2 linked regions of the Drosophila melanogaster genome follow. The protein of the gene in region 1 purifies or fractionates together with the protein of each later gene. This does not show direct contact. Each region holds a gene or a part of one and is shown in the gene's direction. Other genes may lie near its edges.

Region 1 (5,882 bases):
ACTGATAACCGCGCTTCAACCTTGGATGGAATCGTCAGCGTTGACGCCATCATCGATACATTTCCATAGGGCAAGAAAAACACGTGTGCGCAATTGATTTAGAAATTGTTTTCTATTTCCCTCACAGGCGACATCATCAAACGCATCGACAGCTACTACAAAACCGGACAAACAAAGGCCAAATCAGCCAAACTTCAGTTTCCCGACAAGGAAAAGGACACGGAAAAGCTAGAGGAAGATGTGGACTCCCCGAAGAACGAAATCGAAACCTTTTCGGAGCAGGAAATCCAAAGTTCTCCTAATCTGAATCAAACGCTTTTAGCTCCCAGCACTGGGCAGTCGAGAAGCACCCTAAATGCCATGCTTCTCCAGCGATGTGGCACAAAAATTGAGTTGGGCATTGAATCGAAACTGCTGGTGATGGCTGGTCAAACAGCTACGCTACTCTTTGAGGTCACCAACATGAAAACGGAAACGGTTTACTCCACCATTCAAGTCACCGACGAGCGGCGCTTCTTGGTTCAACTGAATCCTACCAGGTTGGAGCGCTTAAGAGCGAAGTCTTTGGTTTACACATTATATATCTTACGTACTTCTGCCTTTGTAGATTAAGCCTGCGCGCCCAGGAGACGGCTACAGTGCGTCTGACTGTTCTGGTGCCCACTGGCACAGCTCAGGGCACCACAGACCGGATTACCTTCACCAATTACGGTCGCGAAACATCTACTCTGGCGGTAAATCTTAAAGTGGTGACTAGCATAGATGCTCAGGTATGTGAACAGCCGATAACCTGATTATGAAAGCATAATTGAAATGTTTAAATATAATTTCCAGGACTCAACTGGACCTACACTATCCTGGGAGTTTGGCAGCCGCTGTGATTACCTGACGCCCGAATCCCAGAATTGTGGTGAACGTTTTTGGACTGTGGATGTGACCGCTCAGGACTGGCAGTCAGGCATGATGCGTTTGCAGGCCTCGCCGCCAGAGGGTCTTTTCTACAGAAACTATTATACTGCTGGTAGCACAGAGCCCCTGAAGGCAACCTACATGGCCTCTTGCTGCGAACCAAAGGTATCACTCATCGCTTTCGATGCGGCCGGGAACCAGAGAAGCCTCACCATCGATGTCAGAGATGTGTATTTGAACGAGGCCGCCATTGCAGCCATTTGCCTTGGAGTCATTCTCCTGATCCTGCTTATTGCAGCCCTCATATGGAGCATTGTGTGGTGTTGCAGACGGAGGAAGACAACGCTGGAGCTGCCCACATATAGATCCCACTCCACTAGGAGCATGGAGTAGATTGTTGTTATGTTATTGTGCCAAGTTAGAACCTATGTGGTCTCGAAGTCTAATAAAATGCCATAGAAGTACCAGATATACAATATGGCACCGTTTTACTAAATGTATGCAAATATTTAGGATACAATTGTTTGTCCCTGCATAAACTACTGAAACGAAGTGCAACTTAAAAAAAGTAGTATAAACAATGTCGGTGATTTCAAACGATTAAATGGACTTAACTAATGTCTTATTTAGGAAAACTATTATAATATATCTATATATTTGTTCAGCTAGTAGTAGGTATACATATTTGTTTAAGCCAAAATAAGTGCTGACCTGACCCATTCCTCTATACACTGAAAGTAGTTTATATTAACTTGATCCGTGATAAAGTCAACCCCAGTTTATGAAGAGGGTAAGAAGGTCAAGTGCCTTGCCAGGCTTATCAGCTTATCATTATAGCAGCCGAGCAACAGGTGACCCCCACTCCGCGTTAGATTCACGAACGTACGGTGACCCACTTACCGCGATTCAAGATGCCAGCGATGAGGACGGGCGCCGCTGGAGGCGTGGCATGGACCACGGGCGGGGCGGCTGGCAGGAGCTGCGGCTTGTTGGGGAAGTCGTCGAAACTCAGGCCGGTCACGGAGGCGCTCAGAAGCGGATTTTTAACGACACGCGTCTGGTTTGCGTTGTTGTTTACGCGAGCGGACACGTCACCTTTCGATCTTTCCGACATATTAGCGGCCGATCTGGAGCTTTAAATTGGGCTAACTCGATATGAAGATGTGTGCCAAGTGCACAGTTGCCTTAGGAATTATTTTTATACACAGGATATTGACACCCACGACGGATTAAAAGCGTTAAACCCGAGAAAACTTCCAGGCAGGCAATATTCTGCTTCTTTCCGCGCATTGGCCATTCGCCATGGAAAGCTTTTACCAGGGCTGCAGCGGATCCAGAAATGGATAGGCAAAAGCTGGTAATCAAAATATGCTTATAACATATATATTCCTAGCTAGTTTTAACTGGGAAAGAGTATGAAATCTCCGTGACTACCATAAACAAATTTTCAAAAATCCAAATAAACAGCAAAAATAGCCAAATATTGCTTTTGCTGCAGCCCTAATTCTCGGATATTATTTCGAATTGCAATTTGGGAAGAAGAAGAGTGAAGTAGATAAATCTTGATGATTTCTGCAAATATTAGTTTTTAAATAAAATTAATGGATTTGTAGAAACTCTGACCGTATTAATCGAGTTTAGGACTACAAGTGCCGTAAGCCCCGTCATGCCACTGTTTTAAAACAAGTGGAAAACCTTAGGGTCAATTTTTTTTGGGGAGGAGACCACAACAAATAACACCCACCGAATTAACTACGATTACTCATCGCCGGAATGTCTGGAAATCCTTTCGACAGCGACGAAGATCAAAGCTCGGCCAGTGGAGAGATACTAGAGGGCTTCCTATGTCCCATTTGCCGTGCGGATCTCAAGTCCATCGATGTGCTCACGGATCATTTTGCCCGCCAGCATGCGGAAGAGGAGGATGCCCTAAAATCCTTTAAAGATATCTTTACCAAGGCGAAAAAGAAGATCCTAAACCCCTTTGAGGATGAAAAAGGTGCATCTGTATCGTCGCCCGCAGGTTCCTCCTCTTCAGCGGCTGGCAAGAATCCCAATGGCAACGGAGATCGCAATGGACCCAGTAATGCCCGCTCCCGTCTAAATGTATTTAACTATATGGCCAGGCAGCAGCCTGGTGCTGAGTGCTCCCACTTCGAGTACTTTCAGTCCATTCGCAATCCTCGCCTGGAGCGATATGCCAGCGAAACAAACAAACTAATCATTCGTTTGCACCGCCTGCTTAAGGATCTGCCAGCGGATTCAGTGCAGCGGCGTCAGCATGAACAGCAAACAGTTGCCTGGCTGGATGGTAGTTCCGTCAAGTTGTGTCCCAGTTGTGCCAAGAGTTTCCACATCGCCCGAAGACAACACCACTGCCGTTTGTGCGGAGGCATAATGTGCAATGATTGCTCCAAGTTCCTGCCCCTGGAAGATGCCAGTTTGTAGATCCAATAATTGAGGAAAATAATGTAACTTATTTGATTATAATCCCGCAGTGCAACTAGCCAGTCTTTCCACCACAAGAAGCGAGCCCCTTCAGCAGCTGCATCAGCATGAGAACGCCATCCGGCTGTGCGAACACTGCCTTTGGCTGCTGGACACCCGAAAGGATATGCACGAAAGTCGCACTTGTCGCCCACTCCTCGTCCAGGTCTACGAACAAATTCGTCAACTACAAAAAGAAGTTACCCCGGATCTGGACATGTATCTAAAGATCATCAATAGCTTGAACGAAGGGGACACAATCTTCACGTTGGCGGATGCAGGTGCTTTGCGCGGCAAGATTGGACAAGTGGCAGAGGCCATGGACATGAGGAGCAAGCGCATTCTAGCCATATTTTGTGAACCAGGCAGCCGGGAGGAGGCATTAAAGAAGGCCATTCGGTTGGGCTGCATCCAAGCCATCAAGGAGCGAATGTTATCGCTGCCCCCACTGCCAGAGGAATCGCACATACGCCAGATGCAGGAGCGTAGACGCATGGAAACGGAGCAGCGTATCCTCACCGAACAGCGCATGGCCATGGAAGCCTACGAACGAAATAACATGGCAGCTAACCAATCCAACGTTGGAGTTCCTGGTCCGGAAAGCGGATCCTTTGCCCAAGGGGTATGTAGACGAGGACTCTCTGCAAAGATCAATATGTAACCTCTGTGATTCCATTTGCTTCACAGTCTGATCTTCAATCTCTGAACAACTGGTCAGCACCGCAGGCGGCTAGCAAGTCCAGCCTGGACGATCCGCTGATCGAGCAGATAAACATCATTAAGGGCTACATCAAACAGGCTCGCCAGGACATGAACTTTGAGGTGGTGGAGACGCTGGAGCTAAATCTTCGCGAGCTACAGCGCGAAGTGTACGAGCGACAGCGCCAGTCCCAGGGAAGCACCGCCGCCTCACCCACAGAGGCCTAAGCAGTATCCTACATAGTTAAATGTATATTCATTCCCTCTATGACAAATTACATGGCTTACGTTACGTTACGAATTTGTGGTGTATATTGTGCGAAAAATTTTAGTTTGTGCGAAGTTTCTGTAAATCAAAGTTTGTGCGTTTGACGACAACTGAGACTATAAAATGCAACATCCTATTTCGATTGAGTCTATGACTTCAGGCCAACGGCAGCGATCAGTGCCTTGACCTTGGTAATGTAGGCGGCCTGGGCGTCGGTATTGCTCATTCCCTTGCGGTTGTTCCACGCCTCCCACTTGGCCTTGCCCTTGAAGTCCAGAAAGCCGGGCTTATCTGCATTGGATTAGAATTATCGATGGTGCAGCGGAGTGACGACTATGTCCGAGACCCACCTGTATTGCAATCCCCCACAGTGGCCTGTTTGTACAAGCTGTAGAGCTCCAAAAGGTCATTGTCCCCGGGTGTGGTGTTTAGGTTCTTAACATCTTCGGCCGCCTGGTTGAATTCCTGTTTAGGTTAAGTTTGAATAGGTAATCAGACTTTAAGATACGAATGCGTATTTGACGTAGATTCAGTTCACCTGCAATTCGGACATTTTTGTATCTATTTTTTAACTAGTGGAAGTCTTTGGAAAAGAAATTGCACGATTTTACTTCACCGAATCTATCGGCGTCTATCGATATCTGGTCTATACTTTTGTGTGACCAACAGTTTTTCAATTTAGAGTGGACAAGCTGTTGCGTTTTATTTCGCGGGTCTGGCAGCCTATACACTTAAAAGATTCGAAGTCTAATTTCATATTGAGAACTGAGATACATTATTACGATGATAGTTAGGAACATGTGTAACAGTTGGTAGACAGTTTCTTGCCAAAACAATTGTGTTTTGAAAAAAGCTATGGAATAATATGAACAATATCCAAAATAGTCCGTTAAGATTTTCAAGACATTAACGAAATATTTTAAAAACCTTCCAATGTTGATTGTCTCAATTGAACATCTTTCAGCCCACTGTCCTGCTCTCTCCAAATGTGGCAACAAAAATGAGAGGCTTATGGCGCGTGAAACATGATTTCTATTAGTAACATATGGAGTAATGATGTGCTGTACGTCAACGTTTTGAACAGTTGTACATAGTAATTAAAATGTATCAATATTAAGAGGAAATTTAATATATAACTACTTCTTAAATACACAAAATACAATTGATTTCTAGCATATGTGGCCATATTAGACATCATCAATACATGAATTTAACTCATTTCATGATATGACACCCGCATAAACGCATTGTGAGAGCGGGAGAGCGTGGGTATTTAAGGAGAAGGTAGCGCTAACCACTCATTCAGTTCGAAATGTTTTCATCTGCGTTGGTCGTGCGTCCGGTGCTCCGCTAAAAGTAACAAAAAGTGCACAAATTGCCGGGAGAAAATGTTACATTAACGATATTTTCGGTTAATGCTGAGCACACGGATACGGATACTACGCTATATACGCAGTTCGCAACCAAAATCGATGCAATACGCGGATTTGGGCAAACACAACGCAGTGCCTGTAAAAAT
Region 2 (9,164 bases), on another chromosome or scaffold:
ACTAAAGCTGTGTGTAAATTGTACTGTTGTGAGAGACTCAGCTCACTGTGATGCAAACCAAAATAAGAAATATAAATAAAATAAACTCAAAATATCATCAAAGACATAAATTAAAGGTAAGAACTGGTCTTTCTACCAAAGGATATATGAGCCATATAGAACATGCTGAATGAAATCAATACATTTTCAAACCACTGCCATTAGTCATGGCTACTCAAAAACACTCTTTCCAGCTTGTAGCACTCTCTTTCTGGCCAAGTATACTGAATGGCCGAATCATTCGAATCGGGTAGTGCTCTCTGGACGGGATTTCTGAATTCAGTTCTCCGCCAGTTGTTAAATCGCTTGGTTGTGTCGGCAACCGTCGCCACGACAACGCCGCTCCAAGCACAAACAATTAGTTGCCAATTTCAGGAGACAATGAAAACCGAAACAACTTGAATTGAATGTTGTTGTGAGTTCTTTTGACTGACACAAAAACTGATCCAAAGTGCAGTGGTGTGTGGCGAAAAACAAAGCTCCAACCGAAAGCAAAACCGAAAAACCAAAGATTCATTCATTATGGCATCAGGTTTGCAGCGGGTTAACGAAAATGAGGTAAGTCAAAATACAAATATCTCATATCTGAAGATATTCCAATGTATTCACATTCCGAGCACCCACCGACCTTGATCTTAGCCATATATTCCTGGTCTTGAATTATTTATTTGTTCGAGCGAATGAGACACACCATCGTGTCCACATCCCCATTTCCATTCCATCCGTAATTGCCAGTCCGGGTAATTATTGTCTTTGTTCCAACTGTTCGTGCAATTCAAAAATGTTGTATATCCGACTCGTTGGCCTTATGCACTTTTAAACTGCGATGAGCTGTGCGAAAAGCATTTGTTCTCATATTGATTTTGTAATTGTTATGGGAATTGCATCCTTTTGTGGTAATTATCCTTGCAGTATGGCTGAATCCTTTGTTTCCCCACAGAAACCAGTAAAAAATGCTTGGCAGGTTAGTTTTCAATGATGTATGCTTTTTATTTACTATGCACATTTGTGTTTGTAACCCTTGCCCTGAATGTTAGCCTATTTTTCATTACTCGGAGCTGCGATGTTCTGTTTTCTTATCGGCACAAGATCTGACACAAATGGCAATAGATAAGGAATTACTTTGAAAGCGATCTTTAAGATTCATTCACTTTTAAAGTGACTGTTGCAGCGCCATCATGACCACTTTCCTCGAAAATGTATCTTTCGGTTCTGCAGACTTTATATCCTGAATTCAAATACTCATATATGTACATATATACCCTATATTTTAGATGAAGGCAATGGATGCCAATAGGTATGCCACCAAGAAGACGATCGCCCAGGGCATGCTGGACATCGCCCTGCTGACCGCCAATGCCTCGCAGCTGAAGTACATCCTCCAGGTGGGCGAACAGCACCAGTTCTACAAGCTGATGCTGATCCTGATCAGTCTGTCCATAGTCATGCAGGTGAGTATATAATCACTGTAGATTCTTATTCTCTAAGTGTCAGGCACAGAGAAAAACATAAATGTGTATCCTAATGAAATCCATCACACTCGGAAAAACTTGGCTAGATCCAAATGACAATATGGAACTGATAGTTATGTTTTTCTCTGTGCAGGTCCTGTCGGGCGTGCTGAGCCTGTCCCTGAGCCTGCTGCGGGATTGCCGGCTGCATCAGCCGGAGTTTCATCAGTCGGCCAATATCATTAACCATGTGCGCACGGGCTTCGCCTTCTTCACGACCATGATCAATCTGTTCATCTCGGCCTTTGACAGTCGATTGCCTCCGCCACAGGGCGACTTTCTAAACAACTAGGACTAGAGGGTGGGCATGGTAGGGATTGTACGCTTCCGTTTCTAATGCATTCCTCATTCCCCATTTTGACAGCTTTTGGTGGGCATTCTGTTCGTGGTCATCGGGAGTCTCAACATAAACAGGCAGCAGGATCAGACGGCAGCGGTCATCCTGAACGATGTCATTTTGGTAGTCGTGTTCATAATATCCGTGGTGAACGTTATCATATCCGGTTTCGGCATAGAGTACTCATCGCAGCCGCTCCGACTTCTCGATCAGCACGAAAAGACACCGTAAAATCTAGAGATCCAACGATTTACACTTATATTCATACAAATATGTACTTTAAGGCTAATGCAAACCTAAGTTGTAGAGGGAAATAAATGAATGTATTGATACCAAGGCATTGCATTTTCTCTTACCTTCGCAAACAGGTGGCTGCTGGACTCTTGCTGGTCATTCAGTCCCTCATCAATATGCATAATACCAAGGATCGAAATCGGGGCTTCGCCATCAACCACTTCATAGATGCCTTCATATTCCTGTCCGTGTTTTGTGACATCATGAAGATGAATTTTGGACTGGATCCGGCGGTTCCTCACACAGATGTGGAACTTCTGAAGCCCTGAATTTTTGAAATCACAGCTGAGGTTAAATTTTGATGAACGACGTAGGCTCAGTGTTTTAAATACACTTGCTTGCCACATTGTATATATAAATTTTTACCAAAAAAAAAGCAAATTTCTATTAAGTGATAATGCTAGCCGCGTTTTAGTGTAAAATCACAGAAACAAAAGATTAGTGCTTTTTAACAGTTGTTTGTTGCATATATTTTGGAAGGCCCGTAAATTTAACGTTTTATTTGCTTACTAATAAATCAAGATGCCACGCCCAGAAGCAGGCGACAGGTGAGCAATCCTATATTTACACAATTTGAATTCGATATAAGTTCGCGCTTGCAAGAAAAGTGTGACCGCCGCGCAAATGTGGACCGTTATCGATAGGCGCCGATTATTTATGTTCATTGTCAATGACAATTTGTTTTAAAGCGAAAAATATAGTACAGGAATAATAGTTAGTTAGTTACGATAAATATGAGTATAATTTCAAAATTAGATTAATTAGTTTAAATTAAGGCCGTTGACGGGCTGGTATTTCTTTGACGCTCTTGGTATATTGCAGTATTTATCCGAAGACTCTGTGGTATTTCTTCGTTGTCTCTGGCGTGGTCACGTTGATTGGTCCGCTATCTGGACCGAAAAAAGTCGTATTCCAAAAATAATACGTATACGTACGCGCGTGAATCACTCGCCACACGACCCAGCGCAGCGCGACAATCGAGTGTAGACACATAACATAACTGCCGTAGTCGTCGCCTCCGTGACATCCGCGCCAGCACCAACCCGAATCCGGCCGCGTCCCCCGTTTCCAAATCCAATTTCCCCTTTAATTTCGGTGGCTAATATTAGAGTCTTGCGACATGTTTAGCTTTCTGAAGCGCGAGAAGAACACCCAGGAGGTAGTGGAGAATGTGATCGGCGAGCTGAAGAAGATCTATCGGAGCAAGTTGCTGCCGCTGGAGGAGCACTACCAGTTCCACGACTTTCACTCGCCAAAGCTCGAGGATCCAGACTTCGATGCGAAGCCCATGATCCTGCTGGTGGGCCAGTACTCCACGGGCAAGACGACCTTCATCCGCTATCTGCTGGAACGCGACTTTCCGGGCATTAGAATTGGTCCGGAGCCAACGACGGACCGCTTCATCGCCGTGATGTACGACGACAAGGAGGGCGTGATACCGGGCAACGCCCTGGTTGTGGACCCCAAGAAGCAGTTCCGGCCGCTGTCCAAGTACGGCAACGCCTTCCTGAATCGCTTCCAATGCAGCAGTGTGGCCTCGCCGGTGCTGAACGCCATCTCCATCGTGGACACGCCCGGAATTCTCTCCGGCGAAAAGCAGCGCATCGACAGGGGCTACGACTTCACCGGCGTGCTGGAGTGGTTCGCGGAGCGCGTGGACCGCATCATCCTGCTCTTCGACGCCCACAAACTGGACATCTCCGACGAGTTCCGGCGCTCGATCGAGGCGCTCAAGGGACACGACGACAAGATCCGTATTATCCTGAACAAGGCCGACATGATTGATCACCAACAGTTAATGCGGGTGTACGGAGCACTGATGTGGTCGCTGGGCAAGGTGCTGCAGACGCCGGAGGTGGCTCGTGTCTACATCGGCTCCTTCTGGGACCAGCCGCTGCGCTTCGACGCCAACCGCCGACTGTTCGAGGACGAGGAACAGGATCTGTTCAGGGATCTGCAGTCCCTGCCGCGTAACGCCGCCCTGCGCAAGCTGAACGATCTGATCAAGCGGGCGCGCCTGGCCAAGGTGCATGCCTTCATCATTGCCGAGCTGCGCAAGGACATGCCCTCTGTGTTCGGCAAGGACAGCAAGAAGAAGGACTTGATTAAGAACCTCGGCCAGGTATACGATCGCATCCAGCGCGAGCACTCCATTTCTCCCGGCGACTTCCCCGACATCAAGAAGATGCAGGAGGTCCTGCAGCACCAGGACTTCACCAAGTTCCACTCCCTCAAGCCCCATCTGCTGGACATCGTGGACAACATGCTGGCCAAGGACATTGCCCGCCTGATGGAGATGATTCCCCAGGAGGAGATGACCATGGTCGCGGACCCAATCGTCAAGGGTAAGTCCCCAAGAGAGTGAATGATTAAGCACCGCTTTGCCGCATTAGTCACACTGCACTTGCTCGGGCAACCAGACATCCGACTCGTGCCCGCGAAGATCTCGAGAAATCTCTTGGTTTTCCGCGGGCATTTCACTGGCGCGTTTTCGCTTTCCCATCGCACCGAAATATTGCGCATGCGCAGCTAGAAAAATGCGCCAGTTAACCCAGATTTCCAGACGGGCCAAAATGCGAAAAAAACGAGTTTTGCCAAGCGGAGTGAGCGGCTTGGCTTCGGATACGGCCAAAGTATGAGCCACAGCTACAGCTAGACCGCAGCCAAACGTATTTAATGGATATACAATTACAATCACAATTCAAATTGCCAGCGAAAAACAAAGCCAGTGGGAGCGATCCAAAAATCGAAGCTTTTCTTTGGCCCGCATGCACAGCTTCCTCTTTTCGCTGACTGGCCAATTATGCAATGCCTGGCAACGACTATATATAAACCCTATACTATGAGCGAAACATATTTGAGCTACTATATAAACAAAGTGATAAGCACCGAAAACTGATAAGACGAGCGAGCAAAAAGTCGGTGTCAATTTAGCGCTTAGGCCAGCCACACAAACGCACTTTCTGTGGCAAACTCAACATCGAGGTGGAAGAAAATAGCGCCACAAAACCACGTATTTTCTTTCCTATCTCTTGCAAATACTCTGCTACCCAAAATGTGATAGCCAATTGCTTTGTACTTGAAAAATGGGCGCCAGTGGCGGGCTGGGGCGTGGCAAACCGAAAAATTTTACTATTCATATGTGTCAATAATTATCGGCTTGCTTTCGTCATGGGTAGGAACTCAGCCAAGTTGACTGTTTTCTCCCCGCAACGTGATAAGATTCGTGGCCATGATGTAATCATTGGAAAATACCGATAGCTTGGAGCAGTGCAGGGTTCGTTCTAATTGGGCCATGAGTCATCAGAGAGGGGAAAAAAGAAAATAATAGCAGGCGTACAGTTGGGCATGATAAATATTTCACACTCGAGTACCCAGGCTGAATCGGATCTGGCTCTCCGGAGCAGACGCATCCAGGCAACCATGACGAATACCACGCACTCGATGCCGAGCCAAAACGCCCAGCAATATAATCGCATTTAAGCGTTGAGCATTCGAGGAGGAGCAGTAGGAGGTGGTAGTAGTAACTCAGTTAATCAGAGTCTAGAGGCGCCAGTCGCATTGCAGTCGGAAAAAAGTAAACCCTAATTGAAAGTCTAATTCGATTCGATGCAAGCTGGCTGCTCCACCGGTTCGCCCTGTTACTGTGACCTCCGACCTTCGTGCGTGGCCCAGAGTTCAAGGCCCAGTGCCGCGCACCTGTTCGCTTTCCCCCATGCATTCGTTAGTGGGTCGAGCCAAAGTGGCCTGTTTGTCAACCCTTATCGGGTTGCTAGGCAACTTCTAGTTGGCCGTACTGCACGTTACCCTAGATAAAAATCAATGTAAGGCCGAGTCAGCATGCCATCATCAAATCATGTCTTATCAGTCGACAAAAGTCTGGGCATGTTCCTCTACTAGCACTGCTCTAATTTCAAGCATCAAGTATGCTCATTTAGTTTGTTTATCTGCTCTTACGCTGTTTAGCGTAATTAGGCAACAAGTTGCGGCTACTGGCCGTGCAATTTTTGGCATATTTCAAACAATAAAAGCCGAAATTATCAGAACTAGTGCATATGTATATTATGAGGGGCTCAAAGGTTGTCCACCGTAAAACTTGTAATTATATTCAGCTTTAGGGATCATTGCTTGCTGAGCAAGCAACTTATATGGAAAGCCAGTAACTAATTTGATTGCTCATTTATGTAATCATCCGTTTTGCATGCACAAACCTTTTTTTATCGTGCGAGTAGAAGGCACTGTCAGCATTCTCTTGCCATTTATCAATGCTCCTTATCATGCCAGCTAATGGTGTTGTGCCCAATGAAACACTATAAAACTACAACGGAAAGGCGTGTGATTGGATTAATTCAGTATACAAAGCCGCCAGACAAGGAGAACGAAAATAATTATCTTCCAATATGCCAGGCAACTTAGAATTGGAATAGTAAATATACATATGTATATATACATTCCAATATGTGCTGCCTCCGAGGAGGAGAGATTGTCGTCCAGCTGATCAAACAGCACCCAGAATAATCCCCACGCCCAGTTCGCCCAGACGATCCCTGGTCAACCCATCGCCACAACCCACCTCTGGCGATTATATACATATGTACGTATATATGATCTGTAAACCGAACCGGTTGCAGTCGCATACGAGTACATGTATTGCTGGCGTTGGCAACCTGAGGCCGCGTATCAATTTGATGCTCTCCGATTGTGACTTGGGGCGTGTGGCACTAAGTGGCTCATCCTCCGTCTAATCCGCTCGTGAATTCCACGAAGGGGCCCACGGAATTCAGATGAACTAGCGCTAAGTGCAGGAAGAAAGCATTTTACTCTATGATATACGGCTCGGTGGCAATCCAGTCGCCACAATGCTATTGTCTGATCTCTACTGTTTGCCTTTTGGTTTGCTGACCACTTGAGTGGCCTTTTAATTCAACTATTAGCGTATTTTGGCCTGACCTTGTGCGAAAGTATTCCACATAGCCGAGCAAATACGTTTCGCTGGGGCAAATCCAAGCATAATACGATTGGCGATCGACTGATGTCATGGGTGGGAGATCAATATCTCAACGCATGTGTCATCCATCCGCAGTCTCGGTCACCTCGACATTCGATTTGGGTAAAATTCGATAGCCCCCTCCTTTTAAATTGGACCCGACAAGTGAATGAACTTCTCGTTTATTATTACACCAGAAGGAATTTCGATGGTTGTACCCCTGAAAAAGAGAGGCGGAATGCGTTGATAAAGCGAACCGAATCGAAATCAAAGTCAAGAACTTGGGGCTCTAATTTAGTGCATGGGCGAGTGAGTGAGTGAATGAGTGTATGTATCTGTATCTGTATCTCTGATTTTATTTTCGTTGCGTTCGCTGCACAGTTTGCTTTCATTTGCTAGCATTTCCGTTGTATTGTCTTGGATAATTGACTTGGCTAGCTCAGCCAGCAAGATAAGTGCTTTGGGTAGTGATGTCTTCATAGTTTCGGTTGATTTGACAATGGAATTGACACTCCATTCGAAATGGAACTTATGTGGACCGTGCCTTGAGTCACTGCCTCCACCGTCACCATCACTTCATCACCAGCACATCTTGAATATGGGGATCGGCATCACATGTTTAGCAGTATGTCGCTAAATAGTTGTACACATATCTGACACGATCTTGCAGAAATCAGTTCTTCTGTTCGCCGTTCTTTTGGTTCTTCGTACTTTTCGTTTTCGCCATTGGCCCACTAATTAAACTCGGTTTGATTTCCACGTCCGAGTCGCACTGCCGCACTTAGCAGTTGTGCTATGCTCCACTGTCAACCATCTTTCTCTCTATTTCTTGCATACCCAAGTGGACTCCGACGACGATTTCGATGTGGCCGACGAGCCAGCTCTTCTGACACCCGGCTCGCAACGGGAGCAGTTCGCGGAGCGCTTCGATCGCTGGCTGCAGAATCTGCGCCAGCAGCAGCTCCGCCTGTTCAGCAGTTGCACTAGTCGGGTGGGCAATGTCGAGAGCGATAAGGATGCCGATCCCGGTCCAGAAACGCAATCTATGCCTCAGGCAGAGCTGGAGCATGAGTCTGGCTCTGACTTCGAGTTAGAAACCAAACCAGATCCTGATCCTGAAGTTGAAAATGAGGCGGAGCCGGAGACGGGGACAGGGACTGATATGGCCGTAAGCAACACGCACAGTAGTTGATTCCATAAGTCAGTGGCACCGATTGAATATACAGTATTGATTTACTTAGAATAATGGAATGGGAACTCAATGATCTCCAAGCCATGCCACCCGGAGGGCCCTTTTCAATTGCAAAGAGACCGCAAACGAATTGAGCAACTTCAAAAAGTTAATTGAGATCGCACTTTACAACCTGCACCGCCCATCTCAATTGCCCCCCCCCAGAATGCACTGCACCACAATTGCCCAGTTAAAGTAGCCGGCAAAGTACATGCTTAAGTCGGTCAGCCGGCCTAGTCACGGAACGGCGGCGGCGACGTCAATTGGAGCCAGAGCGATCTAAAGGTTTTAATTGCCTCAAATTGAATGTTTGTGCACGGCGACGCACCGATCAACTTAGATTACATGCTTAATTAATGCAAATTTATGGCGCACACAGAGTATCGAATGCCACACTGACCTCTCCATCCATTCATCGCCTCTTCCACAGGTGGTGCCTTCGAGGGAGTCATCGACGACCATGTCTCACCATTCGGCTACATGAAGGGCGAGGGCATCGATGCCGGCTACGGAGAGCACGAGTGGATCTGCAACAAGGACAAGCCGCGCACAGATGGCATCTTCAATGGGCTGGGACCAGTCGATGGCAAGATATCCGGTGCAAGTAAGTTTGTTATAACTCAAGGGGAAAATCGAAAACAATAATCCCATTCTTCGCCACTTGCAGCTGCCAAGCAGGAACTCATCAAATCGAAACTGCCCAACTCGGTGCTCAGCAAGATCTGGAAACTGTCGGACGTCGACGGCGATGGGTTCCTGGACTCT

The links.
Region 2: the proteins of Rbsn-5 (region 1) and Past1 purify together in Drosophila melanogaster (affinity purification with western blotting, with the first as the bait; one study listed by BioGRID). This does not show direct contact.

Annotation. Positions count from the first base shown.
Region 1 is NT_033779.5:8,157,410-8,163,291, forward strand, and holds Rbsn-5 (Rabenosyn-5), read left to right. Parts: upstream 1-2,422; 5' UTR 2,423-2,682; coding exon 2,683-3,349; intron 3,350-3,407; coding exon 3,408-4,018; intron 4,019-4,083; coding exon 4,084-4,323; 3' UTR 4,324-4,391; downstream 4,392-5,882. Other genes in the region: PAPLA1 (phosphatidic acid phospholipase A1), read right to left, coding at 1,810-2,023; CG43394 (uncharacterized protein), read left to right, coding at 128-539, 608-770, 835-1,302; Acbp1 (Acyl-CoA binding protein 1), read right to left, coding at 4,512-4,654, 4,714-4,828, 4,902-4,916.
Region 2 is NT_033777.3:12,694,810-12,703,973, forward strand, and holds the start of Past1 (putative achaete scute target 1), read left to right. Parts: upstream 1-2,512; 5' UTR 2,513-2,703; coding exon 2,704-2,729; intron 2,730-3,021; exon of another isoform or gene 3,022-3,301; coding exon of another isoform or gene 3,302-3,309; coding exon 3,310-4,526; intron 4,527-8,829; coding exon 8,830-9,003; intron 9,004-9,066; coding exon 9,067-9,164. Other genes in the region: NijC (ninjurin C), read left to right, coding at 562-597, 1,314-1,490, 1,915-2,118.